Bombyx mori: one gene and its partners. The protein of the gene in region 2 purifies or fractionates together with the protein of the main gene of each other region. This does not show direct contact. Links are inferred from orthologs where the notes say so. Each region holds a gene or a part of one and is shown on either strand. Other genes may lie near its edges. The genes, in order: coiled-coil domain-containing protein 6, ralA-binding protein 1 and AP-2 complex subunit sigma.

Region 1 (10,918 bases), on a different chromosome or scaffold from region 2:
CATATATCACCTCTGCACTCATGCCCTTGAGTGTGGAGAGTTCGCTCTCCGTCTACGCTAGACTTTAAGCACTTCTACCCATCGCCTAGTGTAGTCCACTAAATTAAAGGTTAAGAAAAACCCAAACAAAATATTTATGCGCATTATTTATTTTTTTATTATAACATGAAAAAAAAAGTTACGTGAATATTTGCATGATTAAGTTCGAGAACAAAATTCACTACTCCCACAAGTAAACATCGAACACAACAATTCCCTTGAGGGCACATTATAACATACATAACAATAATATTTATTTATCAATCATATTTTCGTTGTGTAGGAGTAGGATTCACCTCAAACGTGATGGTGTGCTCTCGATAACAACGTTACTTCAGATATTGTGTTGAACGCTTTTGAAACGTAATCCAATCACATTCCGTTTTCATTTTAAAAAAAAAATTTCAATATGCAAGATACCGAGAGCATTCCTATAAATTATGTTTTACAAATTATTATATCTTTAATAGTAAACACAAAGATATATTATTACACAGCCTTATAACATAAAACCCACTGCCGCAATTTCTTTAAGCCCGGATATATTTTGTTAATAATTATCTAAACTATCTAGGACTACGCTACGGAATGGGAATGTTGGCAAATTATTGGTACTGTCGATTTATTACGAGGTGTACGAGGCTCGCCCCGTAGCCGAAAGTAGTCGAGTATATTAGAAGAAAAATAACATTTATTATACGATTTTTTCGCTGGAACACGTGTTAGCAACGTCGTCAGTTTTAAGCCCCGTGAGCTCACCTACTAGTTAAGGTTACGCTGAAATAGCCTCAAGGCTATCCAGCTAACCAACAAAGTTCTGTGAATTATATTATGTTGCCAATTTATTTTTTTATTATTATTTATCATTTAATATTTGTGTCTTATTAACCGTTTAATATCTCTGAAAATACATAAGTGCAGTTAATATGAAACAAACCGGAAAATGTGGCTTCTTGGGTTCTTCAAACGAGTCCATCGTATTTTAATCATTTTACTGGGAGTTTATTTCATAACATCCCATCTCACTCATTCCATAATTAATTTCATACTAATCAACTTTGTTTCATTTCGTTCAAATATAGAAAAACCAAAATGTGTATGTAATGAAAAGAACAAAACTTAGCAAGTCCAGGCGATTTATGTTAATAAATAAATAAATAAAAGGGTGGAGTTCGAAGACCCTTTTCCGGAACGAAAATCTTTATTATCATAATGTATTCTTAATAAAAAAAAACATATAATATTTTTTAGGTTAAATATTAATTGATAATGTTTCATACAGTACTGAATTTATATTTAAATAAAACAAATCGTCGTTTGCAAATTTGAAATCTCTTATGTGTATAAATGTAGTTTTCGAGAAAATCTAATAAAACTACCTACTGAAAAAAAAATGCAATATTTTTAGCACATATATTAGAATACTTTGATCTACAATAAAATGCAAACTAACACTTAGGGTTTTTTTAAGATTGACGCGTAATAAAGTGAAATATTGTGATATGCACATTTAAGTTTTTGCTGAGTATTACCTATACTCAGCAAAGAATAGCTTTCACAATAATTATATGATAATTTATTTTTGGCGCAAAATTTCACATAAGAGATTTTAAATTTGCAACAACGAAATATCAAATTTAATATTGAGGGTACATATACAATCGGCCGTGCATAATGCTCGTCTGCTCCGACCTCGATACTAGCAAGCACAAACAAGTGCAAAATAGAAAGGGATAGAGATAGAAGGGGACAGAAAGTCACACGGCGGGCCGTAACGTTTTTCTCTTACGTAACGATTTTTATCAACTCCAAGAGCAAGCTGAATTAAGAAACTTCATTCCAATTATCACTATTAGATCATGAATATTTAATTACTAGCTTTTACCCGTGTCTCCATTAATATTTTTTTTCTAGATGATAGATAACTGTGCCCTTTTCTGTAACCTTACACATATGCCGAATGTAATGATAATTGGTTGCGTACTTAAGAGGTGAAAGCGTAACAAACAAACCAACTCACTTTCGCGTTATATACATTGATTAGTATGGATATTTACAATACATGTCGGAGTATGTCCTGTATCTGAACCATGGATCTCGCGCTTCAGGTCATTTTTATTATGTTGTATGTTACATCGTCTGCAATTTAACACTACTTAATTTATATTTGACCGATTTTTTTTACTACACTGTCCGTTATAATGTGTCAAAGTTAATGAAGACTACTCCAATACCTCAGTATTCAGTGGTGGATTTTAATTAACATGATAGTCTTTTATTTACAATTTAAAACAGAAACTGATATATTAAATTACATTTTAATGTAATTTTAAATTTTTCCGCCCAAAATACTCTAAGCTGCCTTATAACCTTAATTAAGCTACGTGTCTCAGAAGCAATCATGTTTTAGAAAGCAATACCGTAAAATCTCTTTATTTTTATTTATTAAGTGTATTTCATAAATTACGAACAGTTCTAATAATTTATCAACATTTCCATTGAAAAAAAGGCGACCATGGAGTCTTCATCACGTGTATTTTTTATTACAAATTATCGTTTTTGAATAATTTCACCAATCGTGGCCAACGCATAAAAATTGACAAATTTTACACAAAAATGGATTATACATATATTCTGAAATCAGAATTTTGTCATTCATAGGGTATAATAATAAAGCTCCAAGCGAATTAATAAATGGGAAATTGACGTTTCATATTTTTATTCGATTTATATTTCAATACAAATTTATAAATTCGAAACGCGACTAAGAAGAAGAAGTTTAAACGAACAACGTATATGTACTTTCAAAGAAATATGTAAATATATAGCGGATTCGCGATCGACGCGGGCAGTGAGCAATTTAAATTCGCGCCTTCAAACGGGCAGCGCTGTTCGAAACGTCACAAGTCAGCAAATGAGTTTACGTTCATCGCGATCAATATCAATCGAGGTCGAAGCGAGGCGGGACAACGCGGTAGGAATCAGGCTCGAGGAGGATTGTGGTTTCTTCGCGTTTGTAGACGCGTGAGGTCCCGCATCATACGGCGCGTTTAGTCTTTCGAGGAGGTGTCCATGGGACTGGCGGGCTGGAGTAGCGAGGGCGGCGCCGGCCCCCCCGCCTCCCGCCCCGGCAGCGGCGCGCCCGCCGGCACCGCGGGCTTCACGAACCTGTCGCTCGGACGACGACCCTGTGCCACGTAAATTTGTTATGTCACTAATACATATAATTTTGAAGTCGTCGTGGCCTAACGGATAAGACGTCCGGTGCGTTCGTGTTGAGTGATGCACCGGTGTTCGAATCTCAGGCAGGTACCAATTTTTCTGATGAAATACGTACTTGACAAATGTTCGCGATTGATTTCCACGGTTAAGGAATAACATCGTGTAATAAAAATGAAACCCGCAAAATTATAATTTGCGTAATCACTGGTGGTAGGACCTCTTGTGAGTCCGCACGGGTAGGTACCAACATCCCGCCTATTTTTGCCGTGAAGCAGTAATGCGTTTCTAAGGTCTCAGTACAACGGCTGCCCCACTCTTCAAACCGAAACGCATTAATGCTTCACGGTTGAAATAGGCAGGGTGGTGGTACCTACTCGTGCGGACTCATAAGAGGTCCTACCACCAGTAGCCCGTGCGGACTCACAAGAGGTGCTACCCCCAGGGCCTTGAAACTGCAATACTTTAAGACAATTTTTTTTTGTAGGGAAACTAGCGATGTCTTGTAGCGGATGCCCCTAAGCTTATATGTTGTTAAAGTTAAGGCATTTAATTAATGTATAACTAAACACAGAAAGTAAAAAAAATAAAAATCATGTAAGTCTTTGTTTATTATAGACAAATTGATTAAAATTTGTGATTTTTGAAAATTTACAACATCCTTCATTAAAAATAAAATATAGGATAGGTAAATGTTACTGTCATCTACAGGAGGAATGAGAAACTAATCGAAGCGAAGCCATCTAGTGGTCGACGCCCGTAAACATTTTGGTTGAGTGCTCGAGTTGCTTATCTATAACCTTTTTAAATTTTATTTTACTGCTTAAATGGGTGGACGAGCTCACAGCCCACCTGGTGTTAAGTGATAACTGGAGCCCATAGACATCTACAACATAAATGCGCCACCCAACCTGAGTTATAAGTTCTAAGGTCTCAGTATAGTTACAATAATTTTGCGGGTTTGATTTTTATTACACGATGTTATTCCTTCACCGTGGAAGTCAATCATGAACATTTGTCAAGTACTTATTTCATCAGAAAAATTGGTACCCGCCTGCGGGATTCACACTCCGTCGCATCGCTAGACACGAATGCAACGGACGTCTTATCCTTTAGGCCACGACGACTTCTAAAACCACAGACTAATTTATGTGTATTATCTATGGTCCTACCACCAGTAAATTATTACCTACGATGTGATGTTATTTTTTTGTAAACGGTGCTTACATACCTGTGCATTGAGGTGTAGTCCCGGGCGCAAACCGGCCCCGCTCGGTAGCAGGGGGGAGGCGTATGGCGACAGCGGGCGCGACCCGCCCGGCGACGACACGCTGCGTGACCGCGCCTGTATTGTAAACCCAACGTTCAACGGGCTAGTCAACTTGCGTTGTATTTAACAAACTAGCGACCCGCCCTCGCTTTGCTTCGGAAACATTAAATTGCATTATTGATAGGCGAAGCCCGCCATGTTGCGCGCGGTACGACAATAACTGCGGGTGAGGCCGCGGGGCGATGCTATTCTAAAAAAAGTAGCCTTAGTTACTCCTTATATCATCAGCTACCTGTCAGTGAAAGTCCCGTCAAAATCGCTGCAGCCGTTTCAGAGATTAGCCGGAACAAACAGACAGACAGAGAGACAGACAGACAAAAATTACTTCTAATTTAATTTAATTAAAATTACTTCTACTAAAAAATTAATTTCAATACTACAAACAGACACTCTAATTTTATTTATATGTATAGATTAAATACCGAAACTTTAAAATTTAAAATTATTTTTAAACTATAATTTTTTCATTATATTTTTTGCTACATTTTAACACTAAAAGTCCGACTGGCTGGGCTTTTGAGTTTTTGAGTGTTTGGTGTTTGGGGGTTTTTGCGAAGAAGATATGGAAATGATGTTAACATTGAGGTGTATGAGGTTTTAATAGAAAAGCGACACAATAACTAAAATAAAACAAACTGAGTTGAGAAAAGATAAGATTTACAATATTTTGCCGGTCGTCGTTGCGCGCGCCTAGGGCACGTGCTTTCTGGCTCAGAGATCTCTGTTTCAGCTGGGGGTAAGGCGGCGGCGGGCGCGGTATCACACGTTCGAATATTTGGTTCCGTTATATCATTTTATTACCACTGGATAAAAAAATACTCACGAACGAAGTCGCAGTTACCGTTAGGATACCATGATGAATTTATTAAAAATGTGTCTTGCATAAACTTGCACTTGCAATAAAAAAAATTAAGGGATTTTATGACCTGGTAGCTAAAACCTTATTTCAAGTCTTATTTTAATTTTAATGAAAACTTTTATACGTGAAAAATTATATTATGAAATGAAATGAAATTGATTAATATGAAACATGGCATGAAATGAAATGAAATGAGATGAGATGATATGGGATGAAATATAATCTCAGTAAAATGGTGGTCATTTACTGAGACTTTTTCAGTGGACTTTTTGGAGGATCCAGAGATGTTACGTTCTGCAGCTTTGTTTCATTTTCGCACATTTGTGCACTTTCCCGGATACTAAACAGTTAATAAACCACCATTATTACACATTTAAACCTGAAGAAACACTAAATAGACAAAATAAAACAAATCACAAAACTTCACTCCTCGTGTTCCCGTCAAAAAGTCCACTTGCAATAATAATAATAATAATAATAATGAACGACGAACTCACACCGAAAGTTTCATTAAATTGCCTTTCTTCTTCCATCTCCAGCGAAGACTCGCTCTCGGACAGATGGCGACATAGCGCCTCGCGGCGTTCCACCTCTTGCTGGAGTTTCCTTTGCAAACGCATATTTTCTTCCCTAATGTGTTTTTCTTCTAAAGCAAACCGATGCATCTTCTCTTTATTTTCATTCTGTGACACCGCCAACTGATTTCTGTAAATTTAAGATAACGTACACATTATTACAGGTTTTAATGCAGTTTGTGTGCTCACAGAAAAACAGAGCATAAATAACTAAGGCTGAATAACTAAAACCTCTATAGATAGAGCCGGCAGTGATTTTATGGATATATTGCGGAAAAAGAACTGGCAGTATTAATATCGAAACCTTTACCTTCACTTATATAAAACTAGTTTTTATGTCATTTACTACTGGTGACAAGGCGTAATGTAAGCTCGCGCGGGTACGTACCGCCGCTGTATCTATCTCTGCCGCGAAACAGTGCACGAGGTCCGTTTTTAAGGATGGGTCATCCGTTACACTAAACAATTGAGACTTCGGTTTCATATGTAGTCGGGTGGCGGCATTCACATTGTGATGTTTACAGTCTCCGATAACAGCTGAATATCAGGTGGGCCGGGAGAGCTTTCACTATTATACGCAATATAAAAAAATCGAGTTTAAAACTCATTTAGCGCGTACGAATAATTTCTATACTGAATTGAAGTAATCGCACGTGAGGTTTAGATGTATGAACACAATAGTAGTACAGCGTCATTTTAGTGTAAATTTGATAAACGGATATAAATGAAAATCTATTCCATTGTATTTTGAAAAAAAATTATAATAGTAAAGACATTCAAGCTGTAAAAATGGAAGACGAAACGAAGCCTTGCTTTTATTCTTTTCATTTTTTTCGAGAATTGCGTTTTATTTTCACGCTTATTATATTAAACCTGCGAGGAAAAATGCTCGAACTCATGTTATGCCAAATTGTGTAAAAGATGGTCAGTACATTGATCTATGGTTTTTCAACTATGACAATCGGCACTGAATAGATTTACGAGATTTTTAACACCTATCAACAAAAACACCATATGCTTTTAGTAAAATTGCGTTGACACGGCTCGAAAATATGAATAAAATTATGAAGTAACTTAAAGACTATGTCTATGACCTTTAAATATGATAGCGTCATGTTTAAAAGTTTTTTTTTTTGTATTGACGGACTGCTGATCTCACCGTCCATCTCGTGTTTCGTTGGACAGAAGTCCATAGACAATGAAAGCTGTCGGCCACATCGAAATAAAAGTGGAAATCGCAATACTGTTATAACAAGGCTACCTTATCCTTCAGACCGAAACAAACATGTAGAATAATGGTACCCATTCGCGACGGCTTATGATACGACCTAAGCCATTATACAATAACTCGGGCTAATGGTGTTATAAAGTTACAGCGCCTGCATAAGTTACGTGCTAATTAGATAACATTTTGATGAATGTAAATGAAATTTTTACCTTAATTTGACGACCTCAGAACGAAGGGTCTGGATGTGATTGCTGAGATTAGATGCTGTGTCACCATTACTAATGTCCCTAGCAAGAATATGCATTCATTAATCGTGACAAACATGTTTAATTACACATAAACAAAAAGATGTGATATAATATACAGTGAACAAATATAGATACAATCTCTATGCATTATGTTAATTCAAAACAAATAATAATATGGTTTACTTTAAAGCAAAATTATTGGGTATATTTAATTGAATAAGCTAATAAATAAATAAATAAAGAAATAATAAAATATGAAGCTTTTATTGTATTGTATTATTATAATTCAAGTTATGATTGAAAGGCAATCAATCATGCAAAGTAAATCAAATTAATAAACAATTTAAAAAACACTTTAATTGTTTAATATCCAGTTCATTTTGATATACAATTTTTCGGTTGTTTCAATTAACACTTGGAACTTTTTAAAGAAATTGGAACTTTTTAAAGAAAAATCCTAAGTTCAATAAATAAACTAAACTCAAACATTTTTGGTTCATTGTATGCAAAAGATTAAATAGGTATAAATTTCCAAAACATATTTTACGGCACGTAACACAGATTATGTAATGTTAACAAGCTTCAGATTGCTTTCTCACGAAAAGTGGATGATGCCCATAGATCTGGTCAGCCAGATCGATTTAGAAGGTGGAAATCACAATACTATTGTAATGCGGCTACACTACGAAGAATGTAGTGAATCAACAAATCTGTTCAGAAGCAATATCATAATAACTGTTCAGCTACATGGTTACCTTATACCCTGTACTCTCAGTAAGAGGGTAGATAAGGGTCATGAACATTCGACTGCAGCACTAAGCATAATGTTTCTCTTTATTGCTTTTACCTAACTCATATAATATTGGGCTTTACTGATTCTACCATCCTGCCTGATAGATGAAAAATGTAGGTGGGACAATATTGAGTCAACCTTTCTATGACAAAAGTATAGCCAAATGAACACTACTAAAGTTAACTACAAAAAAAAATTCGCCTTAGGATATTTAATTTTGATATCCCTTGGTTTTAACTGTTTTAGTTGTAGTTACAATAGAGATGTTCTTTTGTGGAAAATTAAGAAATGTTCAGTCGTCGCTAATACATAATTTGTTCAGTATTAGTGAGCATTTGTAGTTGTATTGGTGCTGATCTCAATCTATAACGGGCTATAGCTACAAATCAGGTTGCCATTTTAATGAGATATATATATTGGAGGCGATTTGGCTTGTTTCGAAAATATCAGATACGTTTAACGCTTCGACTTCTTTTTGTTTAAAATGGTATAATACATATTAGGTACTAATTGGCACAACGAATAAATGCAAATGTTGACAAAAAAAATTTGGTCATATAAGAAAACAGTAAATATATGTATTCGAAGCATTGAAATTGTAAGACATATAATTAAACGATTAAAGTTTTTTTAGTCAAGAAACTTTGTAAAATACAATGCATGTCTGTTTATAATTATATCAAGATTTTCACCTAGGACTTGCGGGATCGGAAACTGGTTGATCCAATCTTATCTGCAGCGAACGTTTTTCAGCCTCTAGCTTGTCCATTCGCTTCCAAAGTCTATTCACAAGCGCTTCTTGCTCTTGTTCTAATGTATTCTCTAATTCAACCTGGAATATTTTGTTGAGAATTAATGTTTAAGTTTATGTTAATCTTCTTGAGCAAAATAATTTTTCTAAGCAATATTCCATACATAAAACGTAAAATGGTGCACAAAGGTACGTAACTCAGGGCTAGGCTCCAACACAACATCAACATAAAGTTGTGAAGCAGGAATTTAAAGGATGTCTAATGGTAATTGATGGCATCAAAAAGGTATTAGTGATAGTTGTGTTTCAATAGTCTAATCAGTAAATGCAGACTAATTTCACATTTGATATAAGACTGACTACACAACTAGACACTTCAAACTCGACCTTTCTTGCTAATTCATTAATTAGAGGTTTTGTGCTGTAGAATTAACAATAACTAGAGGTCCCGCAGTAGTCGAAATTCGACTATAATTAATTGGAATTGTAAGTTTGTACACTATTATGATTGTATTTTATACTTCTACTAGCTGACCCGGCAAACGTTGTGTTGCCTTAAATAAGATTTCTAGGGAAATTCTACTGTAGAAAAAAAAACCTCATTTAACCACATAATACCTCATTATAAACAAAAAAAATATATCCAAAAAATTAAAATAAAAAATAAATGTTTGGGGTGGACAACCCGTTTCACTTAGTGGTATGAAAAATAGATAGTAGCCGATTCTCAGACCTACTGAACATACTATTGATACACAAATAAAACCAAAAAAACATGGCTGAAAAATGTATAGTATTGTATAGCTCTCAAATATATTAAGTGTATAATCTATGATGTATAGTGAGTAAGTAGGACAGGAGACCGGCTTCGTCCTCATCCCTACTACGTGATGTTTGCTGGATGAGTGGTGACTCCTGGCGGGGATCGATTGATAGTTGATTAGTAGTAGACCGGCGAGGGCGGGAGATCAAATTCAATTAAAAAAAAAACATAATTAAAGGAACTTGAAATTATAAACTCTGAATAAGAATTTATCGTCCTACAATTATAATATTTGATTGCCATCTTGCAACCCTATTGCCGATCTGTGCATAGAATATAAAAAAATATTAATCGGGATGGAAAAATAGGGGTTGATCGTATAAGAGTGAAAATTGAGAGTAATGTGATTTTTTTATTTTAAGTCATTACAAAACAAAATAAAAAACTTGTCAAAAAAATTAAAGTTTATAATTAACAAATAAAAAATAGGGGTTGATCATAGAGGGATGAAAAATTGAGAGTAACATCAGATTTTTTATTTTAATTCATGACAAAATAAAAATAAAAATGAAAATCTTGCCAAAAAAATTAAAGTTTATAATTAACAAATAAAAAATAGGGGTTGATCGTAGAGGGGTGAAAATTTCAGAGTAATATGAATTTTTTTATTCTACGTCATGACAAAATAAAAACGAAATTCTCGCAAAAAATTTTAAAGTTTTTAATTAGCAAATAAAAAATAAGGGTTGATTGTAGAGGGGTGAAAATTTAGGGTTGTATGTATTTTTGTATGTTGTATCATAAAAAAATAAAAACAAAAATTTTTGTTTAAAAAATAACAAATAAAATTTAGGGGTGGACTACCCCTAACATTTAGGGGGATGAAAAATAGATGTTGGCCGATCCTCATAGATACTGGATAAGCACAAAAAATTTCATCAAAATCGGTCAAGCCGTTTCGGAGGAGTATGGCAACGAAAACTGTGACACGAGAATTTTATATATTAGATAATCACAAATTTCGCCAAGACTACATTATAAAAAATATTAACAAATTTATCAACAACAACATTTAATCTCAATTTGACAACAGACGTCAAGAACAAAAGTTTG
Region 2 (11,674 bases):
TATATTTTTTTGCGCATCGAATATGGTTATTGCCTATCATTTATGTACAAAGCAGCTATTGTCGCTTAGTCACGTTTGCATTTCAAGCGTCGATTTGTATGTTTGTATAGATACGACGTTTTGTAAACTGTAAACAACAAACAGATAAATATGTGCAACGCATACAAGATACAAGGCGAGATAAAAGAAATTCTTCAATCAAGGTTTAGCTCATTTATCTAAGCCGCGATAGTCTTCACATATATGCGTTTTACGTTCAACTAAATAGTACATAATCATATAAACGTTAAATAGGTGACCTAGTTTGGTCTGGATTAACATCTGGTTCTGACATACTCAAATCTCACCTAAAATAAATAACTTGGTCTGTTACTGGATTGGGTTGTCGACGGCCTATATTTAAACGCACACGCGACTCAATTGCATTTTGCGTTCCAATCGATCGCGAGATCGCGGATTCGAGACGAGACCCGTATCGTTAAGCCATTCGATTTCACTGAAAGTCAACTCTGGTAATGTGGACCTAACGTTTTTATTTTATTTTATTTTATTGCCCTTGTAGGCAGACGAGCATACGGCCCACCTGATGGTGAGTGGTTACCGTCGCCCATGGACTTCAGCAATGCCAGGCGTAGAGCCAAGCCGCTGCCTACCGCTTAATACTCTCCACAAGCCTCTTTTACAGAAGGACATGTCATAGCGCTCAGGAAACACCGTGGAGGGGAGCTCATTCCATAGCCGGGTGGTACGTGGCAAAAAATACCTCTGGAAACGCACTGTCGATGAACGCAGCGGTTCCAGATGATATGGATGAACTCTGCTCCGATGGCGGGATGTGCGATGATAAAAAGGAGATGAGGGGATCATCTCAAACTGACGTACATATAATATTAACAAAGACGCCGTTTGGAGCCTGTTGGGAGTCGTCAGTAGATGATATATTAGTTTGAAAGATATTTGCAATTTCGCCAAAATGGAAACACGAACACATATTATGTACTATACCCAGCAAAGGTGCACGGACAGATTCAAACCAAAACGGAAAAAGAGAAACGGCGTGTTCAAGCGAATATAGACCTTAAGGTGGTGTCCATGTACTTGTGCAGTCGTCTGTACATATATCAAACAAATGCATTTCTTTCGGTTTTGGTTTTCTACTTGTTATTTTTTTTAATTTAATTTTTTTTTTTTTTTTTTTTTTTTATTGCTTAGATGTGTGGACGAGCTCACAGCCCACCTGGTGTTAAGTGGTTACTGGAGCCCATAGACACCTACAACGTAAATGCGCCACACACCTTGAGATATAGTTTTAAGGTCTCAGTATAGTCACAACGGCTGCCCCACCCTTCAAACCGAAACGCATTACTGCTTCACGGCAGAAATAGGCGGGGCGGTGGTACCTACCCGTGCGGACTCACAAGAGGTCCTACCACCAGTAAACAATAATTCAATAAACAACAACCAGAATTGATTTTCATTTTACTTGAGTGAGCGTAGCTTTACGAAATAATTGCGAAATATTATTTGTTATTGCAAACAAAATTCTGAAGTCACATTATGATGACATACATTAAAACACCGGACATTAGACTAAATATATATCTTGTTTGTTTAAAACTTGTTTGTTCACTGATAATCTTGTGTTACGATAAAATAAAATGCAGGTAACTACACAAATTTTCCGCGGATATTGTTCTAGGACACAAATGTCTTTTCGAAAACATTACCGATATTTGACGTTCAACAAGTATGTACTTTCATTTATGTTGAATAAATTTTTTTTTGATTTTTTTTGATTTGATTTAATTAACTGTGCAATATTTTTAACACTGATATTAATTAAATTTAACTTATCAAGTTAAGTTTTTAAGTAGGTAAGTACTACACATATTTCACTTTCAAACACCAATGACGGACTTTAATATTTTTCAATAAATGCACCGACAGTTGATTTATAAATTCATTTTACTGTCTGTTTACGTTTTCATTTTTATTCATTTTATGTAGCACTAATTTCGATATCTTTATTAGAATATTAAAAACATGAAGTAAATAAAACATTAATAAAATTTCCGCGTAACACACAAAAGTTTGTTTAACAATCGATTTTGTACCTTCGTAAACACGCTACGTAGGTGATGCATGACGCGATTTCAAGATACAACTGAATAAACCATGACACGACCACATCCATCCAAGGCCGAACACCTACAACCTTTATAATTTTCATAGACCCACGTGTACTAATGACGGTCTCGCTAACCAAGTGTCAACGCAAATTGGCCAGCGTATAAAGGCAACCGCAAAATTATGCAAAAAGGTATCAAGCGCTGAAGCGCGAAAATGAAACATTTAGTATTGAGTAAATAAGATTGAATATTTGAATAACAAATAAAGTGAATGGTACTCTCAATATAAAGTCATTTCATATTGTACAAATAAATATACATATTTTTTTTTAAAGTCGGATAATTATGAGTTTATTATCCCTTTTGGCAATAAGGTGGTAACGAATTATTTTAGAGTAATGAGTCACGGTATTTCGATGCATGTTGCAAATATAAAGGATATTATTTAGCCATTTTGTGCAGATTGAAGACTAGTTTAAAGTCAAGACTGAATTCGAAGGTCAGCGGTTTGCCTGTGTACCTGGTGTTGATAAGTCAATATGGGATGCTAAAAACTACGCATAAGGTGGGCTTCTTGGCAAATTAAAGAGACTTAATATTAAAATTTTATTTTTATGCGTTCACAAACATTAGTCTATGTGAGTTGAAACATAATACGATCATTGGCAATTCAGGGAAATTTCTGTTTGTGCCATCAAGGTCTATTCTGTTTGATGCAATGGCTGTAAATCAGTAGCGTGGATAATATCTACTGATATCATTAACCTGCACTACTACTGTATCTTAAATAGATTGGAATAAAAATATAAATAACTGAGCTATTCATGTCTTTTTCACTTTATTTTTCGGTATGAATATTCACTAAGTTTTCTTCTAATACTGACAACATGTCCTTCTTTATGGTTGACGAGGGTCCTCAGTAGAACGCCAATGAGCCAGGGTGATTACTCACAATTAAATTAGCCATGAGTGGTCCATGTCAACTAACGTTTGACAGTCATGTTATGCTTATAGAAAGTTAGTTAGTTTCTGGAAGTTGTCAAGATGGTCAAGTCATGGTTGGAAGGGTCAAACAGCATTATTACCGTGTATTAAAACCATATTGTTACGCATTAAAATTTATATTATTACCTTATCTTTTTCTTTCTTTTTCTCCTTTTCCTTCTTCTCTTTCTCCCTTTCCTTTTCTTTTTTCTTATCTTTTTCTGTTACTTCTTTATGTTTAACTGTTTCTTCTAAAACTTTTTCTTTATCTCGGGATTTTTCACGCTTTTCTTTGCTTTTGGTTGGGAACTTGAATGACTTTGTCTTCTTAGATTTCGATGGACTTCTGTTGGATTAAATAGATATTATTATCATAAATACTCACGCAGAATATATATACAGAACAAATGCTCTGTTATTGTTATATTATTAACAATTTTATGGTTAATATAAATAGTTATTCAAGTTGACGTCCCATATCTTGTTGACTGGTTAATGGAGCCTGTGGTAATGAAAATGATGTGGCTTTCCAAGGTCTGTCAATATATTGTGCAACTCAGGGGGCCTTTCCATCAACAATTTATTAAAAGATGATAATTAGACATAAAGTATGGAGTATGACTGACCAGGCCTAGCAATCAGGTCATTGATGTCATAAGAAGACTTTAATTAAGTATTTTACTACAGTTTGTTATGCATGTATATGTGTATTCGTGACTATTTTTACCATAGTCAATAATTTATGTCATAATACAGTAATCCCCTTATAACACATACTCTTAAAATAGGTGATTTCAGTCTCTCTTATAACACGGGTATTCCAGCATATAACCTGGGGATTTCACATATTATATTTCAGTCCTGTGAAATTTATAATGATTTGTACATTATAATATTTACTCTACATTATCATATGATTCATTACATCATAATTAATTTCAAGTACCATTGCCCTTTTTTTTTATTGCATAGAAATGTAGACAAGCTCAAAGCCCACCTGGTGTTATGTGCATTACTGCTTAGCAGCAGATATAACCAGGGCGGTGGTACCTATCCGTGCAAACTCACAAGAGGTTCTACCACCTGTAATAAGTGTGTCAATTGTGTTGTTACAAAATAAAGTATAATTTGTTTATTAAATTTGTGTTCCTAGTTTTAGAATTGTAAAAACATTGGTTATATTGTATTGTATTTCTATGTATATTAAATTTGTACATAACATGTTATATGTGGTCATACAAGTGCATTATGCGAGAATTATATTACTGGTGGTAGGACCTCTTGTGAGCCCGCACGGGTAGGTACCACCGCCCTGCCTATTTCTGCCGTGAAGCAGTAATGGGTTTCGGTTTGAAGGGTAGGGCAGCCGTTGTAACTATACTGAGATCTAAGAACTTATATCTCAAGGTCGGTGGCGCATTTACGTTGTAAATGTCTATGGGTTCCAGTAACCACTTAACACCAGGTGGGCTGTGAGATCGTCCGTACACCTAAGCAAAAAAAAAAAAGGATTCTCCTACAAAGACGATGAAGCACAGTCAAACATTGACTTTTTTATTTTCTACAGATTTAAACAAATCATATTATCACAGCCCACCTGTTGACTATTTAACTTTTTAGACACTACAAGATATTGCTGCACACATTTACTCATAAAATCAATCTAATCTTAAAAAGTATATTACTCGGGAACTACTGGAGTATATAGATAAGGAAGGATAAGGAATTTGGCAGCATTAGTAACAAGGTATGCACTGGCATTTTGTCATTAGATTCTCGAAGCTGTTCATATTATTCTAATGTGTTTCATTTGTTTGAAACCAGGACTTCACAACTGAGTGTGAAAATTGAATTTTAAGTTACATTTCTAATGCACTAACTTAGTATCAGTGTCTTCTTCAGGTGAACTCTCTCCTTCCAGTGCTGCATAACCTCTATCTTTTTTAGATTCTTTCTTCTCTTTCCTGCGTCCTAGCAAGTCTTTCTTACTTGGTTTTTCGTGTTCTGCACCATCGCTAACTATAATTTAAAAAATAAATATGTATCAACAAGTTTCGATTATTCGCAATTTAATAAAACCGACTAAAAGAAATAGACACTTATGTTATTGAGTTAAAGATTTTTACCTTGTTATTGTAAAAATATCCTTTTCATTTGATTTAGTTTAAAAACTTCGTAATAGTAGGGATTTGTGCTTCACAATTTTGGGTAAATTGTGTACAAAAACAGATAATACTTACAGTCACTTTCATTGCTTTTACGTCCACTTTCTGAAGCGTATAAACCGGGGAAATCCTTTTCAACATCTGGACTTTCAAAATCCATTTTTATTGGTATGTCACTTTGTTTTAATAAGTCGTTTATTTGTACATATTTTCGTTTATTATTATATTTTTATAAATTATTACAAAATACCAATATATAATACACTACACTTATGTGTATAATCTATGCACTACACAAACAAACACATAATTTCGTTGGACTTTTTGGCGGGAACGCGAGGAGTGAAGTTGTGTGATTTGTTTTATTTTGTCTATTTAGTGTTTCTTCAGGTTTAAATGTGTAATAATGGTGGTTTATTAACTGTTTAATATCTGTGAAAGTGCACAAATGTGGGAAAATGAAACAAAGCTGCTGGACGTAACTTCTCGGGTTCCTCCAAAAAGTCCACTGAAAAAATCTCAGTAAATGACCACCATTTTACTGCGATTATATTTCATCCCATATCATCTCATTTCATTAAATTTCATCCCAGTTGATTAATGTCTCAAATTAATCATCTTCATTTCATTTCACTCCATATTATCATTTTTCATAAAATTAAGAAAATAAAGTAAAATAAGACATGACTTAAAGGTCTTAGTTACCAGGTCATAAAATCTCTTAAAAAAAATAAATATTTTCGTTTATTTTGTTCAGTTCGACAGGTAAAGGGAACGTAGCCCACACAGTCTCAAGGAAGTAATGTAACCATTAAAATAATATTATCTTCTTAGAACTTTTCAGGTTTTTTAAACAGAGAGAAAGTAAGTTATATAAAAATTAACCCGTCTTAAATAAAATAATGTAAATATTAAATATTCAGTGTATTATCCATGCACTGTACCTAAACATACCTGATAAAATGTTTGAACAATGGTATTTTCGGTAACAAACTTAACAGAGCAGCGTAAAATAATATTTTAACTTCCGTCTTAGAATTTATCCTTATAATCTTATCAAATAGTTACGAGTGTCGAATAAATCGATCTTTTTTTTCCTACCTAAGCTGAGAGCCTTGAGAGGCTATATCGGCGTAACCTTAACTAGCAGATGAGCTTACGGGGCTCAAACCTGACGACGTTGCTAACACGAACCCTAGCAAGAGCCGTGCATCGCAGAATCTACCACCGGATCGGAAACGCGACCCACTGAGAAGATCCGGCGAGAAATTTTTTATGAAGTCGTCGTGGCCTAAAGGATAAGACGTCCAGTGCATTCGTATCGAGCGATGCACTGGTGTTCGAATCTCGCTGGCGGGTACAAATTTTTCTAATGAAATACGTACTCAACAAATGTTCACGATTGACTTCCACGGTGAAGGAATAACATCGTGCAATAAAAATCAAACCCGCAAAATTATAATTTGCGTAATTACTGGTGGTAGGACCTCTTGTGAGTCCGCACGGGTAAGTAACCACCGCCCCGCCTATTTCTGCCGTGAAGCAGTAATGCGTTTCGGTTTAAAGGGTGGGGCAGCCGTTGTGACTATACTGAGACCTTAGAACTATATCTCAAGGTGTGTGGCGCATTTACGTTGTAGATGTCTATGGGCTCCAGTAACCACTTAACACCAGGTGGGCTGTGAGCTCGTCCACACATCTAAGCAACAAAAAAAAAAAAAAAAAAAACCCGTGTCAGATAGCTCATTAATCGAGGAAGGCTATAGGCTATATAACATCACGCTAAGACCAATGCAAGCGGAGCAGCAATAAAGAATGCTTCTAAATCGTGGTATTTTCCCTTTTGAGAGGTTCTGCTGCATGCGCTGCGGAAATGGTTAAAGTTACGCTAAAATAATGTATGACAAAAGTGTTCTCTTTTAAAAGTTAAAAAAAAATTCCGTAACAGCATATGTGTATATTTAAAGGTTGGCTCACTATTACGTTTTTTATGCTAATCAAGTTTCTTCTAAAATAAAGCATTATTTGTGAAGGTGTTTTTATAAAGATTATATTAATCCCTATCCAAACAAATATGTTATTCATTACAACATTGAAACACCCAAATCACTTCAAGATAGGCTTTGACAATTATAGATTTTTCTAGATTTTTCCAGGATCCTATCATTAAATCTTGATGAATACAGGACCATTCGGGAAGTATACCCTTTCGAACAAAAAAAGAAAAAAGAATTATCAGAATTGGTTCAAGCATTCTCGAGAAATCGGTGAACATACATAGATAAAAAATTATGGTCGAATTGATAACTTCCTCGTTTGAAGTCGGTTAAAAAGCGTGATTTTGGTACTTTAAATAGCTCTTTAACATTTTCTATTATTCAAAAATATTTTCACTTTCTACTTAAATGAAGAGGTGGGTATAATTTAGCGTTATGCCAAAGTAACTACTCCACGCTAACGAAGTCGCGGGCAAAAGCTAGTATTCACATGCAATTGATGCGTGTTGCAATTGATGCGATTGGGCAAGTTACCTTTGCTCTCATGTGCGAAAAAACGAAAAGATCAAATTGACATTAAGTTTTACGTGTCTAAATAATGCTCTAAATTGTTTTCTGATAAAATTTAATTTTAACACAGCTTACTTAAACAGTATTATGGATTTTATAAACAATACAAAATTTACTTATTAAACACACTACAGTTGTGATCGTCATGACTGTTTATGTTCTTCATAAATTATCACTAAAAACGAGACGTGTAAAACTGCGCAAAATTTGGGTACATAAATCTCGATCAGTCTCTGTTTTGTAATTAAAAATATAATAATTATGTAATCATCGCTTCGAATTAAGATTATTAATAATTTACTGTGCAGAAAAATTTTCAGGCTTTCAAAAAATAAATTAAAATGGCTTGGTTTGCGGACTTAGCTGGAAAAGCTGAGACACTTCTTAATAATTTAGACGAGCAAACAGGAGCAGCCCTACGCAATCACAATGTTGTGAAGGCACGTAAACAAGAAAACTCCGATTTTATCTTACATCCAGACCCTTCCTGGAACCAAAGAAAAAGGCCAATACCACGAAATTTAAAGAAAATTTCACCCGTTCCCGAGCCACGTTCAAATTACACTCCTGCTCGAAAGATTTCTCCTATACAGAATTTGAATAAATCTCCTGTAAAAGGCAATCAAGAGCCAGTAAGAAATGGAGTTGTAAAAACGAAGAAACCCTTAAAAAAATCTAACCAGTATACCTTGGACAACTGTCCTGATACATTAGTCTGTGATACTAAAGGTAGCAATACTGACCATTTTGGTTTGAGGCAAAGAAGTAAGTATTTTAAATTTGTTAACGTTGGTTGCAAGTTTCTGCAATTAAAAATAGTTGGAGATGCTGGTGACAATAAAATAAATAAATAAAATTTTTTTCTTATTTTTAATTTTTTTATAGGTTAGGTTGGTGGACGAGCTCACGGTCCACCTGGTGCTAAGTGATTACAGGAGCCCATAGACATCTACAATGTAAATGCTGCCACCCACCTTGAAACATGAGTTCTAAGGTCTCACACTTTTAATGGTACAATGGCTGCCCTGACCTTCAAACCAAAATGCATTACTGCTTCTTGGCAGAAATAGGCAGGGTGGTGGTACCTACACTTGCGGACACAAGAAGTTCTACCACCAGTAAACAATGGATGATCTTCCACAGAGTGGGTGATATTGCTTGGTAGACTGGTGGTCTAAATTGAACCAGCAGTGTTTTGCTTAAGAATGGTTGTGCATTAAAATCAGGCAAAAATTGATATAGGAAGCTACTTTATTAATCCCATCAAGACTAGAATTAATAGCATTTGTCCATGTTAATTAGACAAAGTATTATTTTCTTGTTTCTTAGTGTTTAAAAATATTGATTAACTGTTTCATATTTGCTGTTTAATATTTTTTAAATCAGCATAAGTCATAAGCTCCATACGTGTTAGAAAAATACATAATAGGCCTTCACAATAAATGAAACATTAATGACTTAAAGAATTTGGTTGAAAAGTCATGAAGAAGTCATGGTCTCTGCTTCTTACTATATGTACACAATGCATATAATGTATTCATTTAGTATTGAGCTAAATCAAGATAGTATACCTGCAATATTATCATTATTTCCTTTTGATAAACTATAAACCCAATTAAAACATTGTCCTCAGGACATAGTTTGCCAGTTGACCTAGAAATAGTAAGTGATGAAGAATGGACGTACAGAATGCAAAATTTGGAAGTTGAAAATGTGATGTTGAAAAATGAACTCAATGTGTTGAATAGAGAAGTCGCAGATTTGCTTGAGAAACTCCGCAAAACACAGGATGGTAATAAAGTAGAGAAAGTAGCTAATGGTCATGCAGGTATTTCAATTTAAACAGCTTCATATTAATTGTTTTATGTTCTACAAAGTGTGGAATAATTAATTTTTTTTTGCATTGATTGGAAATTGTGTATGTATGCTTTGTAGTCAATTATTTGAATTATAGAGACTTACAAGTCTTAAATTGGTGAATTCTGTAACTTTAATTTATAATAAATTTATGAAATTGATTTGTTTGTGAAATAAATATGCTTATTTCTCAATATTCTTTTATAAATTGATATACAGTATTACTAATTATTGTTTGTAGAATAGCATAATTAAGTGATATGTTATAGTTTTGAAGACTGGTTGTGAAATTTATTAATTCTGGTGACATATGCCATATGTCGTTCTTATCCATATACTCGTAAATTAAAACCTGTCTTAATTTACAGAATTCAATAGTATACAAACTGAAATTAAATTGGCTAAGCAAGAAAATAATGATGTTAGTTCTGAAAAAGATTCATTGAGAGCTCAACTGGAACAGATAAAGCGAAAAGTGGATGATTTGGTGAACATTGAAGTTGTTAATCATAAAGAGAGGATTCGGATTTTGGAAAATGAGCTGTGTGCGCAAAAGGATCAAAATACTGAATTAGAAGATAGGTTTGAATCAATTATCAAATTTGGTATAGAAGTAAAAGTTTATATTCAGGGGAAAATGTTTGTTTTCATTTTATAATTCATAGGCAAGTTCATGACTGACCTGGTGCTAAGTGGTTTTCAGATTCTATAGATATTTCTTTATAACTTTATATACTTGACAGTTTATAGGTGGACTTAATGCCATGGGCATTCTCTGACAGTCTACCTTAGGGGGATGCAGAGATGAATATTAGGTACTTAAACATATATATAACATACATAACATTTATAGACACAAATACTCATACTTAAATAAATACATATATATCAATATATACTAATATAAATATATATAAATAAATATCAATTAGTTGACTCTGCTAACTCTCTGAGAAACAGTTCTTGAACCCTTGTCTTAAATGCTTCACGTGTAGTGGCCAACCTTATCTTGAGTGGGATAGATATTTTCATACTATTCAATAAATGCACATATAAATTGGCAAAGACAAAACACTTTTTTAAATTCCCTTTTATTTTCTATGTAATTTTTCAGGATAAAAGAGCTTACAGAAAAAACGAATGAAAAAGAAACGACCCATTTAAAATTAGAATCCGAGTTACGGCATGCACAATCAACCATAACTGAATTACAATACAATTTAGGCAAGTCGAATGCTGAATGCCACAGATTGGAAAAAGATTGGGAGACATATAAAGTAAGAGTGAAAAGTATGTTACACGCCAAAGATGATGAGATTAAATCATTACAAAACGGACTGAATATAAACGAAGAAAGTAAATTTTTGATTGAGCAGTTAGAAAGTGTGAGGTGAGTCTGATGTTTGAGTTGTAGTTTAAAACCTTAAAAATGCGTTTTAGTAATGTTTTTTAACCTGGCGATTCTCGCAAGGACTTGATTAAAGTATTAAAATTTTAAATTGTTATCGTTCCTTGATAAGTACTTATTACAAAATTTAAAGTCAATGGAACAAATTTTCCTCAGATTTCGCAAGTCTCGGACAGAATAAAACGCCTTTTATGGTTTAATTTTGAGTTTTTCATTGTCTTATAGACAATAAAAATTGTAACATTCATATAGTCGTCAGTGAACCACAAAAAACTGTGATGTGTTCGAAACATAAATCGAAAATAATGTAACGACATAAAAAAAAACAAAAGATTAAAAAAAAAGGAATCCATTCCATATCCATCCATCCATAAGAAAAGTTTCTATTACATAGCGTAGAATCTTATTAATCAAAAATATCTTTGAAAAATTATGTTATTTACGATCACAATGTCTAAATATGTGAGGTATAGGGTGTAGATTGTAGATCTACATTGTCATAAATATACATACTATCACTTAGCCGAGTGAAATGGATATTGGTTTATATTTTGCCTGAACTAC
Region 3 (11,683 bases), on a different chromosome or scaffold from region 2:
ATGAGTACAAGGGTTATTTTGATAATATCCTGAAAAGCACCCAACCCTTTTTTTCAATAAAATCATCTTTTCTTACACTATTTTTAATTCAAATTTATTCAAATTTATATTCTATTATTTAGTTGGATTTTCTATAAAAGCGTATTTTGTTAGTTTTTTTAAACTATTATTTATTTCTTCTTCTTCGTTGAAGTAATTTGTGAATTTGAGGCACATATTCGATTATTAACAAAATTGTTGATTTCAGTTGGAGTAAGTTCGACATGGGTCCGCAGATATCTCACGTGGGCCACCCCGATGTGTGGATGTTCCCACCCTTGCTCCACCGCTGGGAGTGGGGATAGTCTCACGAACAGTCAACAGTAACGAGCTGCTTGTATTCTGAATATACATACATGTTTTCGTTGAAAGCGCACTCTAAATTAAACTCTATATCTATATGGCATAAGATGAATGTTTAATAACAATAATAAACATTATTTAATAATAAACATAATATTTTTAAAATCAGTAACATAGCACTTTAGAACTGTATGTCTATTATAACTTTATTAAATCGTTAGGAATAATCAATGTTTTGTATTTTTTTTAATTTAATAAACATAGATTTTGACTGTATTGTTTTATTTGGTCACCGGCAGTGGTGATCGTGCCGTATTGATATACGGGTAACTCTATATTAGATCTCGAAGTGATGCAAGCGATTCCAATAACACAAAATATTCCTGCTCGTGCATCGACCGGATTTTCATAATCTGTGTAATAATTTTGACACAGAACTTTATCCACAGACACAACGCACTGAGTTTCTCGCTGAATCATCTCAATGGGTCGCGATTCCGATCCGGTGGTAGAATCTGCGAAGCACTGCTCTTGCTGGCCAGTGTTACCAAATTCTCTCAGGTTGAGCCCGTGAGCTCACCTACCTGTCCAGGGCGTAGCTGGTATAGCCCCTTAGGGCCGAGTCACACCGGAATGGCAGTGGCCTGCGTCGCCGCTGGCGGCCTCGCGCGGCCTCCAGACTGCACGCGCCTAGTCTCCTCTTGACTAGTTTAGTTTCTTCATTCGGCAATGATACTCGTGTGTTTGTAGTTAACATGATGGAATTGGTCATTATATATGACTGTGGTGTCGCGAGCGGCCTCGTGTCGCCGCTGGCAGAACGTCCGACAAGACACACGTGGCGCGCGGGTGTTCGCTTCACCGTGGGCGAGCGGCGGCTGTGTCGCGAGCTTTTCAAGCGATACTGGTCTTTTAAGTATACAGACAAAGTTTAAAATTATTTCACACTGAAAGTGCTCGCCGCGACGCTGCTGGCCGCTGCCATTCCGGTGTGACTCTCCCCTTAGGCTACCAGTAAACGGGTAGGAAAAAAAACAACTTCAAGTAATTTCAAGCTTGTAATTTCGTTAAAGTTAGGGTACTCAAATATCTCATATTATCTACTAACTTGACATTTCCACTAATTTTTATCGTAACCAGCCCATTCCTGGCCTATGGCCAAACGGCTTCACGCCGGAGACCGGTCGAGCGGAGGAAAATAAAAAACAAAACCAATAAAACAATAATTTAAACCATTCTATATATTTTAAGGAATGACAAAGTAAAGTAGGTAGTGTATAAATTATATTCACAATGACAACACTGATAAAATAATGTTAAAAACGAGTGTTGCTATATTATGTACATTGCTCTAATAAAAATTTCATTGAAGCTTTTTAAGTATAAAGTCGTGATAAATAATCAGATCTTAAATTCAGAAAGCCATTTGATATTTACGCACATATATACAAAATAACATTAAAACATTTGAAATCTTAATATGAACAGTATATTTTAAAGATTTCTTTAACAATTATTAATTTTGAATACACATTTTTTGAAATATCTTGGATTAAATATACCTGGGATTTTATATATTAACCACATGATCTCTAGCAAGCCTCTGAAACATGGTCGACATTTCAATTGCTTTCACACTGGAATGCAGGACTGCTTTGCAGCGTAGCCAGGCTGGACGACTATACACATCCTGGTAGAGCCAATAATTTTAAAAACAAATCAATCTACAAATCGAAGAATACCGTTTATTGTTGTATGTAACAGATTTAATGAAGGTGCTGTCAATGTTGCTACGTTGGTGAATGACCAGACGTCGCCTCACCATACAGTACTCACCACTGAACTTGCTGAAATAAGTGCACAGAAGAGGCATGTGAAAAATGATTTCAATCGTTTTTTACTTATAAAACTTGTTATCGATACAAAAAATGTACATTACTTTTACGTTAACTCACAAGTTATTCGGTATCTATGTAAAATAAAAGCTGATTAAAATTTATAAAACAAAATAACATAAGCTTACAAGAACATATTATATACTAAGAATAACACAAATACTTATTCTAAGGAGTTCAGCATCAAGAGTTGTTTGAGCACTTTAGTTTGGGATGTCTCCCTGATCTCACCAGCCAAAAACATTTCGTCTACAACCGTATACACCTGAAAGAAGACATACAGTTTATTGTTAAACTTAATTCGAAATAAAGTAAAAAAAAAAAAAAAATAAAAAAAATAAACAAAGTTCGCCGGGTCATCTAGTTCGAAATAAAGTAAGGTACGAGAGAGATATATAAGACTCTATGGGGTGGCACCTATTTCTACAGTGAAACGAAAAAAAGACAACGTTAGCATCAGCTCATCACATACTCCCATGTTTTGGTGAATTTAATAGTACATTGTGCACCAAGGGAGAAAAGTTGGACATTTCCTCCCGCGTGTAAAATTGGCATGCCATTGCAATGGCAAACACGCGAGATGAGATGTCCTACTTTTTTCCTGCAGTGCACATACTATTTTTTTCTCCTACCTACGCCGAAAGTTCGGTTTTCCTCCCGCTGTACAGGGAAGAAAGTGTAACTTTTCCTCCCTGGGTACTGACAAGTGCGCATGTGCGTTAGTGTCTACGTCTGCTCTCACGCACCTAAAATTCTTCGCCATTGTTGTGCTCGGGTAATTTGCAATATTGTGTTTAGTGTAAAAGTGAAATAAACAAAAGGCAATAAAATTTAATAGTGAAGTATTAAGCAAAGATGAGTTCATCAGACAGTTCTTATTCAATTAGTAGTAGTTTATTTAAAAAATAAAAAACAGGAATTGTTTTTTTTATGAGTGGGGGGCTCCGCCCCCCCACCCTCTCGCCAGGGCCTCGGCCCTGGAACTCGGTTCGGTACTCCACGGGTGCTAAGTTTTTTACAATGTCGAACTTTCGGCCTGGTAGGAAAAATAGTACATTGTGCACCAAGGGAGAAAAGTAGGGCATTTCCTCCCGCGTGTAAAATTGCCACCCGAGCCGAAGGCGTGTGTGGCAAACACGAGGGATGATCTAATCAATTACAATTTGCTCAAAGAAATTTTTATCAACTTTACAACTACAAAATACGAACAGAATCGAATTTAGCTTTAAACATATCAAAACATGCAAAATGTACCCTTTGATGACCACTTTACCCCAATCAACCTTGTCAAAAATAGGTACTTATAACATAAGCCACTTGAAATGTATTAACAACCCATCTTGATTTTAAAAATTTCTTTCTTTTATCTATTAAATATAACACAAAATAATTGACAGCAGTTTTAAGAATGTCCACATTAAATATAACAGTTTATGTATTTCCACTTACTTTATAAAAATTGAAGACCAAGTCCAACTCGCAAACATTATGGAAATATTCATTTAGGACCTCGACAAAGTTATGTATGGCCTCGAGATAACACAAATTGTTATCATTTACATCGACACATATACAGAAGTACAGACCTGCATACCTCCTGTATACTATCTTGAAATTTCTGAACTGTAAACAGAATAACATATCTTTGTATATCTATACTGTAGAAAAGAGATATTGTTGTATTGTATGAATTTCATATGAATAGTTTAATATTCAATAAAATTATTAAGCTATTGATAGGTATTATATTGATATTAAATATATAAGAATTCTCAAAACCAAGACAGACAGAAGTATTAGGAACTCCTCACAGGATAACTAATATTTTGCAATGTAATATATGTAACACATCTTTGACAAAATATAAACCCACTAGAACAACAAAAAATGTTTTCGGTTGATTAAAGGGTGTTATGTTATACCCAAAACAGTATAGAAATAATTAAATCCTGTATGTTACTGACATAATAGCACTCTTGTATAGATAGATATCTGACAGGTGTAATAGCAGCTTCAAAATGTGTATTGAAAATAATAAATTGAATAGTTGACACCAACACAGTTAACAGCAATATGAAAATTAAATAGAAAGAGTAAGTGGTAGACATTAGATTATTTTTAAACAAACATTGTAGCATCTTATAGGTAATTTTTTCAATTTTTATTTATAGGCTGATAGACAGCCCACCTGATGGTTAGTGGTTACTGTTACTCATTGACATGGATACAATGCCAGGATCACAACCAATTCACTGCCTATAGCTGAGTACTGAGAAAGATGTTACAGCACTCAAGCAACACTGAGAAGAGAAGTTAATTCCAAAGTTAGATGATATTTGGGAAAATATTCAAACTATTCCTCATTGTACTCCCATGGAATGCACAGTATAAAACAAGGACAACTGTAGTTCCCCCACAGTGCCTGTTTTCCAAGCGGTCAGACTGGGATTATCGTCAATCCAAACAGCCTTCTTCTGTATGTAGTCAATGGACATAGCTGATATTTGGGAGACTCAGCTCAAAGATAGGAGCAGTACTCCACACCAGACCAGACTTAGGGTGTTGTAAAGAAAAATTATGTATCCAGGCATGAAGTATTGCTTCTCAATGTTGAGGAATACCAGCAATTTTGATGCAAACTTATAGTCAAGAGTTTCCAAATATTTTCAACAAAACAACAATTACTGTACAGAATACAAATGAAAAAGAAGTTCTCAAAGATTCTCAGCTTGCTACTTTTTAGCATGTGTAGCATGCAAGGGAACTGTTCCAACCACTTCAAGCAGTAAAAAAAGCTGTTTTTGATTATATTATTAACCATCTCAGGGAGGAACGTAATTGACCCTAGTGACTCCTGTGCACACTCAATGCAATTATACATTTAATATTACTTTAACTATACTCTTTCATGTAGTCTTATATTGATTAGTATGATTTAATCTGTATTGTTTCCAAGTGACCAAGGATATCTTCAAGGAGTTATAGCAGACAGAAAGCTTTAGGCGGTCATTAATGATAAAATAGGCTTTATAAAGTTACCTCGACAAAGTTCGTGTGTTTCGCGTCTCTGACGGTGACGACTGCATGCACTTCTTCTATCAACTTCTGTTTTTCGTCATCATCAAAATTCATATACCATTTCGCAAGTCGAGTCTTGCCTGCTCGGTTCTGGATCAAAATGAATCTTATCTGGGAATTTAGAATAATTTTTAATTATTACACGCAAGTAATGAACTAAATAATATTTTTTTATGAGATAAGTATACCATTTTCACGTTTAGTTATGGCTTTTTTTTTAAATATTACTTTCAAAGACGGGTTGACGCCTCCTTTTTTTAAAACTAGTAATCAGAAATCTTTATCTGAAATTCAGTGATTTCAACTTTGACAGCTACAAAATTCAACCTTCTCCCATTCAGTGCACGGTATTATCTATGCTACCATCATACTTCTCAAATACTATGTGTATTATCTATAATCATACTAGCAGCAGTGTGAAAAATGTCAAGAAATCGTAGATAGACTAACCAGATACCTACTACATTTAAATGAAAGGGAAAACCTTGATAATCTTGAATTTAGTTGTATTTTATTACTTTGAGATATTCTCTTTGTTCTGTACGAACTTTTTATTTTATTGACTATTATGGAGGACTATCTTGAGTACTACTTGGTACGTAATCACAGTAAGCAATTGATAGCAAAGAATAAGCTATTAAGTAAAAAATTTGGTAGTTGCATTTACATTTTAATTTAGATATATTTGCGCAATGTTTTTTAAACTTTTATTCAAAGAAAATTACATCACGAGAAGATATATGTCTATGTAACTTCTCCAACGTAAAAGTGTCGAGTTTCTACTGGTAGCTTTTGGAACTAGTGGCAAAAAAACTTTTTATTTTGTAGACTTTAATAGATATGAACTAATCGGTCAATGAAGCCCGTTCTTGAGGAATTGAAACGTATTGGTATTAAATAAAAAAATATCAGTCAATCACAATTGCAATATTTACTAAAAATCTGTACATATATAAACTGTATAAAAATAGAGTTAAGCCTTATAAATAACTAGACATGCGCTAAAATGTGGATTGCATGCAATATTCAGATCGATCAAATTACTTCGAGGATAAAGTATTATTTTCCTAGAAGATTTGAAGATGAATTAAGGCATTACCCACGAAATATTTCGGAGTATCAACTTTTCATTTTTTTTTAATTACTTCGTTGGATAGCTGCGTTCACAGCCCACCTAGTGTTAAACGGTTACCGGAGCCCGTAAACTTCAACAACTCAAATGCCGCCACCCACCTTAAGACATGAGTTTGAAATCAGTTTTTACAATACAACGGCTGTCCCACTCTTCAAGCCGAAATTCATTATTGCTTCACGGTAGAAATAGTTAGTGCGGGCTCACAAGACGCCCTACCACCAGTAAATTATGTTTCATTTATCTTCTCTAATCTGTCCAGGCTACGCCTATTATTGTATTTTTTCGACCGTTCTTTAAATTTTTTTACTCTAGCAACAAAATTATCGAATTGTTTTTCAATTTTCCAGTAAAATTTTGACGTTGCTACAACTTGCTCGTTCATATCTAGTTTTACCAATGTAGAGCTTAAGGTTTTCTCAAAATGTCCGTAATTTAAGTAACATCTATTTATTTAAACGGAATACATCTTAAATGACGCCCACGAAGACCACTAAAACCGAAGTAGAAATGGTGATACGGAACAGAAAAACAGTTATGAAAGACGGGATAATGACAATGTCTGGAATCGGCGAGCCTTCTGTTTTTCACGCTCTGGTCGTTATTTTTTTGGAGTTTTTCGCGTGGGGCTTGCTCACTATGCCGATAATATCGGTACTGAACGCGACCTTTCCCGACCACACGTTCCTGATGAACGGATTGATCATGGGAATCAAGGGCATACTGTCTTTCCTCTCCGCGCCACTCATCGGAGCCCTGTCGGACGTGTGGGGCCGCAAGTTCTTTCTGTTGGTGACGGTATTCTTCACATGTGCCCCGATCCCGCTCATGACTATCAATACCTGGTGGTTCTTCGCGATGATCAGCATCAGCGGAGTGTTCGCGGTCACGTTTTCGATAGTGTTCGCGTACGTGGCTGACGTGACGACCGAAGCGGAGCGGTCTCGCGCGTACGGCCTCGTCTCCGCTACGTTTGCGGCTAGTCTAGTCATATCACCCGCTTTGGGTGCCTACCTTATGGATTTGTATGGAGAGTCCCTCGTCGTGGCTGCCGCTACCGCTGTTGCTGTACTGGACGTGTTCTTTATTATGGTCGCGGTGCCTGAGAGCCTCCCAGAGAAAGTGAGACCAACCGGCTGGGGCCCTGTCATCAGCTGGGAACAAGCAGATCCTTTTGCTGCACTGAGGAAAGTTGGTGCTGAGCGCACTGTGCTCATGCTATGTGTGGCAGTATTCCTCTCCTATCTGCCTGAAGCTGGACAGTACTCATGCATATTTGTTTACTTGAAACTAGTGATGGGTTTTGGTGTAGTGCAAGTGGCCATATTTATTGCTATTGTTGGTGTTTTGAGCATCGGAGTGCAAGTTATTCTTGGATTTTTGATGAAGTCTCTGGGAGCAAAACACACAATAATGGTGGGACTATTGTTTGAGATGCTGCAATTGATGTGGTATGGATTTGGCAGTCGTACGTGGATGATGTGGGCTGCCGGTGTGTTAGCCGCACTTGGTTCCATCACATACCCAGCGATCAGTGCTTATGTGTCAGTAAACAGCCGTGCAGACCGACAGGGAGTTGTACAAGGCATGGTAACTGGAGTCCGTGGACTTTGTAATGGCCTGGGTCCAGCCATGTTTGGAGTAATCTTCTATCTCTTCCATGTAGATTTAAATGAAGGTCATAACAAAACTGGTAGGATTCCTGAAGAGAGGCATGCATTACTGGTTCCTGGGCCACCATTCGTTTTGGGTGCATTACTCGTCATTTGTGCATTGCTGGTGACCGCTTTCTTACCTGAGGAGGATTCAAATGGAAGACGTGCACCAGCCGATCTCCGATTCGAGATGGAGCGTGGGCGGCGTGTTGCTGGCCCTCTGTCTCCGCTCATGGCGCCCGAATCAGCAGCACTCTAGCCGGCGGTCCAGGCGGGGCGCGCCGCCAGCGTGTAACTCGCCGACGCTCCTGTGAGTGAACTCCTGTGAGTGTTTCTTTACCAACCTCGACATATTGCAGGGCTCCTACGTTACGGTAGAGAGTTGATCAGCTTAGTCTGTTGCGTGTTTCCTAAGCTTTATATGAGTTAATAAAATAAATGAAAGTGAACTTAAAAACATGTGAATAGTTTAAGTCACTCATAAAATTTGAGCATTTATGATTATGAGCTGAGCATCACATGATTAGAAGCTGAAGTATTTATTAACTTTAAGTATTTGTGTCAAAATGAGTAACGCTCAGAGCTGGTAAACATTATTTAAGGTGTTGTATGTCCACAGTGGTTGAACATTATTTAAATTGTCATGCCATTGTCGTATATGGTGCACGGTGTGATAATTTAAATTATATGCAAAGCATATAAATTTAGTATCGTAAGGTAAAGAAAAACACAATCTTCTGTATGATATGTCCTGTCCAATTTAGTATTTTATTATGTGTAAAAGTAAGTAATTAATAGTTGATAAATAAAAAGCTATATTTTAAAATGTGATTGTGTTAAATTTTGTGACTATTGTGTTGTCTTTATTGTTTTTGTGTTGAAGTTACCGGTAAAAAATGTTTTTGGTTCTGGTTGTGATTATAACTAACATTTACAAAAATAAATTATGGCAGGCTTGAGTGATACTTTTAAAAATAAAATTGTGTAGGTATTGCACATTCTCTTACATTTTCATAGGATGAGAAATATTTAATTTTAAACCTTGCTTCTATATTATTTTGTGGCCATGAACTTTTTTAAATAATAAAAGAGAGTAAAGAAATTAATAAGATTAGCTTCTAAAAACTATTATTGATTGTAAAAAAATATCATGTCATGTGTGCAAAATTGAACAGAATAGTTTTTCTATAGCAAACCAGAAATATGACATACACTAATATGAAAAATATATTATTTCTCAAAGCTAACAATGGTATACAAGTAGCCATTGTCTGGATAATGTCATCACCCAAATATCTTTCATCACACCCCATCAGACGTTAGTGTCTGATTGCAATATATAGGCTCCATAACACACTGGAGTCACTATCTTTAACGGCTAAAATATATTAAGCATTTACTGTAATGTTAAAGATATGTTTGACTTCATACCCTCTGAAATGTAATCGTTTTCAAAACCTTAGTGGCTCATTATCATAATACATTTAAGTTTTCAAATATAAATAATATAAATTAGTATTCAGTATCTTAACTTTTTTTAAACAAGAATAATAATAAAATATTTTTCTCGACTTTTCAAATACAGTTTTGTGGTTACAAAAGACTGATAAAACAAAAAACATATTAACTTCCTTGGTGTACTAACTTAAGGTAGTCTTGACCTTTGGGTTACAGATATGGGCCCTCGTTGAGGCTCTGATCAATGGAGGGCCCAAAACAGCATGCTTACAAATTCTCCATCTATCATTATCTGTTTTGTTCTAATCGGAGTTAGAAATAACTAAAAATTAACTTTTTAATAAATAAAAAATTGTTCAAATATTTTCAGTTTGCAATTAATTACAAATTAATGATGTCATAATGTAAGCATGTACGTGTATTTATGTAAGCCAAAAACACGTTCGGAAATAATACACATAATTATAATCAGATAAATTTTAAGAATGGATGGTTGCTTACATTCGAATAAATAATTTGTATGAACCAACACGGAAAACAAAAGATTCGCAATTATTCTGTATTTATGCATATTATTTATGTAAAATTTTAATTATATTTCAATAGAATCACTGCAACTATGCATATTGTTGTATTCACTTGTGTATCCAATACAATATGTAGCTTCATCAAATCCGAGGGTCACGACCGACCTGGTTTGCAGTAACAATACTGTTGAGTCTACGTTATTATATTCAATTAGCGGTCACTCCTAGCTCCCCTAATAATGACAGGCCTAGAACTTAGACGCACTACCTAGAATGGCTTGCACGACGATACGTAGACACGAATACCGCGTTTGTATTTAAATAATAGGTTATTCTTATTAATCCGGTTATTTCAACTGTTAATTGGAACTAAGCATTCAAACGCGAGACAATAAAAAATATCGAGGCATGATAGTTTAAACATCAATAATATTTGCGTCTCTTGGTGGTAGAACTATGCCCGATCCAACGTATACAAAAAAAGCCTTAAAATTATTAAATCGTATTATTTCTGGTGGCTCGTCTCGTTTAAAAACTTAAGCTGGTTTTATTGCTAACAACAATCCTGGAAATCTTAGTCGAAATAGTCTGAGTCGGGCCGGACATTTCTTGTGCGTAACCTTATTACTGCGCTACCCTACGTTTTATACCTGTGATACATATTTAGGTTTAAAAGAATACGTGGAGACAAATGTTGACTTCATGTTCTGGAACATGTTGTGGTAATGCCTTTTAATATTTTGGGATAGATATTACAATATACCAAAGACCTGAGTCAGAAGAAAGGCCCTAAATTCAGTTGCAAATAGTCACAACGTCAATAGCGTTTACGAAATTATCATTTCCGCCCAGAAGCAGGAAAATATAATTTAACTCCAAAACTTCGTTTATTTTCACTTTCTCGGCATCAGGGTCAGCGCAACATGCATCCATGTTGTGGTTTAGTGAAGCCTACTATCGGTCCTCTCTCAGAGTGGTAGTTTTGAATTATGGCTTTGGATGCGCCAATCGATATCAGAATTTGTGAGAGTATTAAAGGACAAAATTAAAATGAAAGCACTACCTACTGCTCTTGTTGACGTATGACGAGGAAGTAGTATTAGATCGAGGAAGCTGGATTTGCCTACTTAACTGGCTGCAATGTGGAATGGGTGTACGAAGGTAAGGTGAATAGGAACTGTTAGTTGTTAACGAAAATGGCGGATGAGAGTCGTCCTGTTGAGAATCAAAATTTCTAAACGAACTGAATATACTCAGAGCGGTGACCTCGCGGTTTGCTTTTAACTAATTTATAGTATAGGTTGAATATTATGTTTTCCTCGAATTTGGAACGGTTTTACTTGAATAGTTCGCGAAACATGAAATTACAAAAACGAAAAGCTTTACAGAGTATATCAATAGTTTTGTCAAATTAATATTTTTCCAAGTATTTTTAGCTAAATCACTATTCCCCCTACGGGGGCAGCTCTTTTTTACATCTTATGATTACTATGAAACTCTTTCCATTCGAGGCCTCTGTGATGGAATGCAACAGAATTTGCACCAGTGATTCGAGTCGCCTCTCGAGTTACCGCATTGTATAAAGTAGTGACCTAC

Evidence for each region.
Region 1: the proteins of ralA-binding protein 1 (region 2) and coiled-coil domain-containing protein 6 purify together in Homo sapiens (affinity purification with mass spectrometry; 3 studies listed by BioGRID and IntAct, counting the BioPlex papers as one, with this or other methods). This does not show direct contact. The link is inferred for Bombyx mori from reciprocal best matches to the Homo sapiens genes RALBP1 and CCDC6.
Region 3: the proteins of ralA-binding protein 1 (region 2) and AP-2 complex subunit sigma purify together in Homo sapiens (co-immunoprecipitation; 3 studies listed by BioGRID and IntAct, counting the BioPlex papers as one, with this or other methods). This does not show direct contact. The link is inferred for Bombyx mori from reciprocal best matches to the Homo sapiens genes RALBP1 and AP2S1.

Annotation. Positions count from the first base shown.
Region 1 is NC_085128.1:8,920,802-8,931,719, reverse strand, and holds the end of coiled-coil domain-containing protein 6, read right to left. Parts: intron 9,124-10,918; coding exon 8,984-9,123; intron 7,538-8,983; coding exon 7,460-7,537; intron 6,153-7,459; coding exon 5,945-6,152; intron 4,604-5,944; coding exon 4,490-4,603; intron 3,228-4,489; coding exon 3,090-3,227; 3' UTR 129-3,089; downstream 1-128.
Region 2 is NC_085113.1:5,999,515-6,011,188, forward strand, and holds the start of ralA-binding protein 1, read right to left. Parts: upstream 5,937-11,674; 5' UTR 5,439-5,936; coding exon 5,354-5,438; intron 5,133-5,353; coding exon 4,994-5,132; intron 3,460-4,993; coding exon 3,261-3,459; intron 3,121-3,260; exon of another isoform or gene 2,145-3,120; coding exon of another isoform or gene 2,115-2,144; intron 1,008-2,114; exon of another isoform or gene 1-1,007. Other genes in the region: golgin subfamily A member 5, read left to right, coding at 8,187-8,610, 9,479-9,673, 10,071-10,284, 10,817-11,092. UniProt on the Homo sapiens protein: Multifunctional protein that functions as a downstream effector of RALA and RALB. As a GTPase-activating protein/GAP can inactivate CDC42 and RAC1 by stimulating their GTPase activity.
Region 3 is NC_085131.1:676,980-688,662, reverse strand, and holds AP-2 complex subunit sigma, read right to left. Parts: upstream 5,687-11,683; 5' UTR 5,507-5,686; coding exon 5,504-5,506; intron 5,427-5,503; coding exon 5,277-5,426; intron 3,861-5,276; coding exon 3,687-3,860; intron 2,503-3,686; coding exon 2,401-2,502; 3' UTR 1,569-2,400; downstream 1-1,568. Other genes in the region: putative phospholipase B-like 2, read left to right, coding at 248-344; hippocampus abundant transcript 1 protein, read left to right, coding at 6,922-8,361. UniProt on the Homo sapiens protein: Component of the adaptor protein complex 2 (AP-2). Adaptor protein complexes function in protein transport via transport vesicles in different membrane traffic pathways.